Xenopus tropicalis: one gene and its partner. The protein of the gene in region 1 binds, or shares a complex with, the protein of each later gene. Links are inferred from orthologs where the notes say so. Each region holds a gene or a part of one and is shown on either strand. Other genes may lie near its edges.

Region 1 (2,290 bases):
GGAAATAGTTTGTGATAAAGTTCAACTTCATCAGCCCAAAAAAACAAAGAAAGAGACAAAGGGCAAAAAGAAATCTTAAAAAGATGGCTCATCTTCAGGTTAACTAGAGAGTTGCTGAACAAAGAGGTAAATAAGTCAAAAACCAATAATAAAAAATGTAAACCAATTACAAATTGTCTCATATCATTGTATATATCAAAATAAAAATCAACAATCCTTTTAATGTCACAATTTTATTCAGGAATGCCCAACTAGCTTGCTGAACTCTCAGTATCCTTTCATATATTAGATTTTTTTTTTTTAGTATTTTCTGGAACATACAAATAGTAAGAACCTGGGATTTCATATACTGAATCATTATAGTAAAAAAAAAGTTCAATTAATAGGTTAATTATCAATAGCATCATTCTCCCTGCGATGGCTCCAGATGTCAGTCTGTCAAACTCAGCATAGTTTTATATCTGTCCATTCCAACAATACACACCGAACCACACACCAAATAATTCCAAAGTTTTTAATAAATTAATGCATCATTAAAACTAAAATCCAAGTTGAGCCCATATGAAAATGCATCTCATTCACAAATATATATTCTCTGACAAATGTGTATACAGTTACTATGTAGCAAAGAGCAAGTATTCAGTTGTGAGTAGGAGACACACTTGATGTGTCCTTTAGTAGACAAATGATCCCTACGACCCCATCCATACTGCAGTATCCTCCCAAGCTCCTGATACCTTTGCATGTATATATATTTGTGACTACTACTGGGAGCATTTTCATAAAAAGAAAGTTGCATTTTAGGTTTAGTTTCAATCAAATCCATTGAATCTCTCTTCTTGCAGATGGTGGCAAATGGAATGCTGTGCTCCATGTAACAAAATAATGCAGTTCACATGCACTGGTGATAGCCAGCTGTGATAAAGGCTGCCAGTGTATTCTCAAAGGGGACATCAAGGTTCCATTCATAGCAATCACCTTCCTCCCCCACTGCCACCGCCTCCTCCACCATTGCCTCCTTGGTTGCCAGCGTCAGACGCTCCAGACATCATTAAGAACAACACGACGGGAATAATGTACATCCACTGCAAAATGGAAACAATTGTTAGCACTAATTATCTCTTTATAGCGATGCTGCCAGCTCATGCAAAGGCACAGAAATTCAATTTATGGGGAATTGCAAATTGAAGTGGAAAAAACAATTACTGAGTTGTTTGTTAAATTAACGTCCAGCAGGGAGAACCATCCTAAAAAAAAAAAAGAGAAATAACATACAGCTGCAGATAAAAATATACACGTATGTATATTTTATATAGATATAACATATAAATTTAAACATATTTAAGTTTTTTAGACAACTAAAACTACCACCAGCCTACTGCCCTTTGCATGCATGGATAGATCAGCAACGGATTTCAGGCTACCCAGTGTCCATTCTAAGGTACCCATGTAAGGATTTCCTTAGCCGGCAAATTGATGAAAATAGGCTGGAACCTATAGTTTGGTACCTGCAAAAAATGAGTCCCGGTAGCCTGTGCCAATAGCAGTACCACTTTTCTCTCCCTCACGTCCTCTCCATCGTCTCACCTTTCTGCCAGTCTTTCAATCACCTCTCCACTCAATGAACCCTGCTACTTCTCCCCTTTATCAACCCCACCACATACAACGTCTCTCTTAGCATTTGCTAAATCTAAAGGTGGGCTCATACACTGGGCAGCCCTGGCACAGCACCAGCGGGTTATATAGCCAAAGTGGGCTGACAAAATTTGCAAATTTGGTGTTAGGAGGTGATCCTGCTGCAGATGGATTTAGCACGGAAAGGGGATGGAATAGCTCACAGGTAATCTACAGCAGCTCGGAACAGTTGCTCTGCATTACTCTTTGAAGTGGGGGTGACCTTAAAGTCAGGTAAGGCCTGGGTCACTTTTGCTAAAGTATATTAACTGCTTGACATTAAATAGACAAGGAGAATGAAAGGTAAAATCACTTGGGGGGTGCCAAAATGTTAGACACCCCCCCCGTGATTGTAATCGCTTACCTTATACCACAGGTTGGTGGTCCTGTTAGGAGAAAACCACACCACTCTCTCACAGCTACTCCAGGCTGGTGTGGTTTTCTGCTAACAGGAGCACCAACCTGGAATATAAGGTAATCAATTACAATCACTGCGCAAATTTTTCTGCAGCAAATCGTTTGCGGCCTTTTGCAAAAAAATCCGCTAATAGCGAAACGCAGAAATTTGCCGCAAATCCATGCCTTGCCAAAAATTTCGCTCATCACTACTCTTTGG
Region 2 (4,300 bases), on another chromosome or scaffold:
AAAAATCAGCCAGATAAAAATTGGGCAGGTTTCATTTTCCAGGCTGCTATGGAATAAGGTGGCCTTACATGGGCAGATTTAAGCTGTCATTCAAGTCCTTCAGACCATTTCGGCTGCTTATCTGCCCATGTCAAAAATTGGGTTAGGTGTCAATTGGACAGGTCTGATTTTCCTGTCGGACCAGGGACTGCTTTGTATCATTGAAATGGTCCTCACTGTTATGGCTCCTATACCCAGAATTGTAATTAGCCAAACGGATCGTACGGTGTATGGCCACCCTTACTGCATTGGGGTAAAGTTGCTCCAAAGACAGGAAGCTGCACACAGAGACAGCAGAAAATCTGTGCATGGTAAAGAGCACATGGTAAAATCTAAAGTAAATGATGCGCAAAACCTCAATCTGCACAAAACAACACTGACAAAGGGGTACAGACAAAAAGTATTTGCATAGCTTATTACCTGGTGTCTCTCAGGCCAGAGTTTGCTTGGTAATAACCAGCAATTACCAGTCCTTGGAGAGCACTCCATGAATCGATCTGTATCACAGTAAGAGAGAAAAAAAGAGAGAGAAAGCTACAAGTGTTTGGAACAGTGTGAAAGCACTTTGGAATGGCAAAGAGTGCCCATAGAATGGTTACATACCTGTGTTAGAGCCACTTCTAAACTGAGAGACAAAGGCAGATAAAGGTGACAGATTGGGATACAGTCACTCAGGGTGACACATCCATGTGATTTGTGACCCAGGAGAGCCCCACACACGGTACTGTGAGGATAGCGTGCCGCATGCAGAAGCATCTTGACATAAACACGAGTGGTGAACTCAACTTCACACATTTTCCTACAAAGCATGGAACAAATAAAGAGTGCACGGTAGAATCTAAAGCAAATTATGCACAAAACTTCAATTTCTGCAAGATCTGTGCTTGAATAAAAGGTCACTTGTAATACATCAAAGAAGAAATAAAATTAAATTCCCTGGGGTGTGCCAATATGTTACACAACTACAATATTCTAATTGCTAACCTGCTAACCCAGGCCAGTGCTCCTGTTCTTCAAAAAACTACATTGCTTGGGGCCTCCTTCTTCTTCCATCAGCTTCTGCTGATTTATGTACTGCAAATGTGCTCAGGTTCAAGAGGTACAGGGATTTTGGGGACAGCAAAGAAGGTGGTGGCGCAGCACCCTACGTTGGTTTCAAGTCATTTGTTAGATTAAAGGAAAAGAAAGACAAATTCACTGGGGGGGTACCCATATGTTAAGCACCCCCTTATGAATGTAATCACTAATTGTTCCCCTCCCAAGCCTGCCCCTTTTTGGAAAAGAAGTGCACCTACCCAGGGAAATAAGTTGCATAATGTTTGCTGGCATTTTTCTTAACTTTCCTGTGCACCGCTAACTCAGGCTCAACAATGTTTGATTGTTTCTAATGTGCAAGTCTAAAGGTGGCTATACATGGTAAGATTAACTTATGTGGCGAGGTTGCCAAACATGCTAATCTTTTCCCCCAATATACCCACCAGTATGCAATGTTGTGCTAAAACGACTGCATTGCAATGAAGGGGATAGAAAAAGTAAGAGAGAGAACCACATCAATAAACCAATGTGGTCGGGGAGGCCTGTTGGAGGACCTCACATACAGGGAGATAAGCTGCTAAATCAGTCTGAAGGACTTGCATTGGCAGCTTACATCTGCCTGTGTATGGCCACCTTAATGCTAATACCACATGTTTATTTGCAGGCCAAAAATTAGCCCCTATGCCTGCACCTGGAGCCATTGCATCAGCCTGGGTGCAGTTACAGGGGGTAGATTTAGAAGGTATAATGCATACTTGCAACTGTGAAAAATAAGAAACATGGTGGTGAGTCAAATTCATTCTGCATTTTGCAAGTTTAATATATAAATAAGTACAGACTGGCATGTTTTATATATAAACACTCTGTAATACTGTAGTAACACTATAAAGGGGATGTCCTGAACCATATCTGATATTTTTTCCCCCCCCTTAATCATATAAGGTGTAAATGTAGTAATATATGCAGAATGTATATATTCTGCATATAAGACTACATTTAGAACCCACAGGTATATTGGCCGGAAGCAGTATATAATTGATATATCATTCAGTGTCGGCCTGCTGCCACACCACTCCATGCACCCTGGTCCTTACCTTGCAAGACAGACCTTGCCATCCCCTGCGCATTTGCATGCCGTGTTGCATTACTTCAGTGGCTGCGTGGAACGCACAAGTCCAAGACAGGGAGTGGACCTGGGCCGGCAGGGCCCACAAGAGCTAGGGCCCACCTGTTTTTTTCCCGGTGTCCCACCAGCCCAGTCCAACCCTGATATTATTTGTATAGCTATAATAAGTAGATATGGGTGCCCATGAAATAAAAAGCCCACTTCTATCTTGGTCATATATCACTAAATGGATCTGAAGTGCTGCTAATAGGGTGTAACCAGTAAGATGCAGGAATAAACAGTTATACTTAGTTATTATAGGGCTTAACACATTTGTTCATTTATTAAGAGCCCATACAGTGATCTATCAAAGTGAAGGGATATAATCCCTACAGAAGCAGTATTACATGATGCAGAGAAAGAGGTACCCACCCAAACTGAATAATGAGAAGCTTGCTTTTACCCTGCTCTTGCACCAACTCTCCTACAGCAGCAGAATCCCAGTCAGCATAGGCAGAGTCAGCTTCCTATCCGGCAGAGGGACCATGAAAGGGTGACACTGTACCACGTGACTGATAGGAACTGGAGGGCGGGGCCGTCCCTGCAAACAGGAAGTAATGGGATCATTAAGGGGGTGTTAGCTGTTTTCATCCAGCTTTGTAGTGGCACGGAGCCGAGGTGGTCGATTGCTGTGTCCAGCTGCGCAGCGTGTTATTATTAGAGATTGCTGGGGACTGTCAGAAGGGACAGCATGCACAGGGTGTCTTTTTTAATACGGATTACACCACAGACTTTTTGCTCGGTGCTTGAGTGTTAGCATTCCATCCCACCTTTCTGCATTTTGGCCCATCAAACCTTATTCTGCCCCAGCCAGGTTTCAGGCTTTTCAGCCTAGCCTTGATTCTGTTGTTCAGTGTTTCATTAACTCCAATACAAAAACACTTAAGTGCTTCATCTGATTAATTAATTAAAACATAGCTTTTATTTCATCTTAAAGTTAAAAAGTGAATTTCATATGATAAAAAAATAGTTACATAAGTTACAAAAGATATATTTACACATTCATTAGTCTTTGTTAGTTGTCTTAATAATCAATAATAGATTGATATTAATCATTATGCATGATCAGTTATCTTATAAATTGCAAGGAAAAAATTCAAGGGGGTGAAAATCATTGAGGTAGAAGTTCACTATAATATTTACACTTATTTACAGGGTAAGTTACATTTCATTAGTCTCATGCATCATCACAGGAGATATAGATCTATGTATCCCATAGCACTGGCTTCCTAGTAGTAAAATTAGCCAGATGCAGTAAAGGGAAGAGGGGGGAGGGATTGGTGCATGCACTAGATCAGTAGAGTCTGAAATCACCGTAGTTACACAGTCAAACCAACCTCCATAAACAGTCTATTGTACTAAAGCCCCTCTTTCACTTCCATTGCCAAAAAAGTATCCACCTCATTGAGGTTACATAGGGGACTAAGTACTGATCAAATGGGAGGTTGCCATGCGCTCTCCTCACAACCTTCCACCTTCCACAAACAGTTTTTATCACAGTTTCTGTGCAGATTCTTTCCCTCCCCCTAAAGCTGGCCATACACGTGGTGATCTGACGATGTTTATATGACCGATGGTCGCACGAAACATCGTCAGATCCGCCACACACAGTCAGGGCTGAAACAGCAGATAAGGAGGTAGAAACAATAGGATTTCTACCTCCTTCTGCCGATTCAGCCCTGACGGCAGATTTTGGTCAGGCGCCTTCTATGGCGCCCGATCAAAATTTTCTAACCTGGCCGATCGGTGAGTCGTCCGATATCAGCAGTTTCCTGCGATATCGGTCGACTCGCCAACATGCCATACACGCACCGAATATCGTACGAAACAAGGTTTCGTACGATAGTATCGGTGCGTGTATGGCCAGCTTAACACAAACACCGGCGATGCTAATCGGCTCTCAGAGCAGCTACCCTCCCATTCATCATCCAGCCCTCTCTCCCTCCTGTGCTTACTCTCCGGTAGTGCCAGCTGCGGCTATCAAGAGCCGCCTCGTCTGGAAGTAATTAGTATACAGCCTTTCTCTCTGAACTACCTCAAAGTCACACCCTCACCTGCCCG

The links. Proteins that work in one complex are often made in the same cells at the same time.
Region 2: emc10 (region 1) and emc9 share a complex: the UniProt entries of both Homo sapiens proteins name them as parts of the ER membrane protein complex. The link is inferred for Xenopus tropicalis from reciprocal best matches to the Homo sapiens genes EMC10 and EMC9.

What each region holds. Positions count from the first base shown.
Region 1 is NC_030683.2:110,440,453-110,442,742, forward strand, and holds the end of emc10 (ER membrane protein complex subunit 10 precursor), read right to left. Parts: intron 1,086-2,290; coding exon 975-1,085; 3' UTR 501-974; downstream 1-500. UniProt on the Homo sapiens protein: Part of the endoplasmic reticulum membrane protein complex (EMC) that enables the energy-independent insertion into endoplasmic reticulum membranes of newly synthesized membrane proteins.
Region 2 is NC_030677.2:139,430,987-139,435,286, reverse strand, and holds the start of emc9 (ER membrane protein complex subunit 9), read right to left. Parts: upstream 2,801-4,300; 5' UTR 2,643-2,800; exon of another isoform or gene 2,612-2,642; intron 2,606-2,611; exon of another isoform or gene 2,169-2,605; intron 839-2,168; 5' UTR 835-838; coding exon 643-834; intron 537-642; coding exon 460-536; intron 1-459. UniProt on the Homo sapiens protein: Part of the endoplasmic reticulum membrane protein complex (EMC) that enables the energy-independent insertion into endoplasmic reticulum membranes of newly synthesized membrane proteins.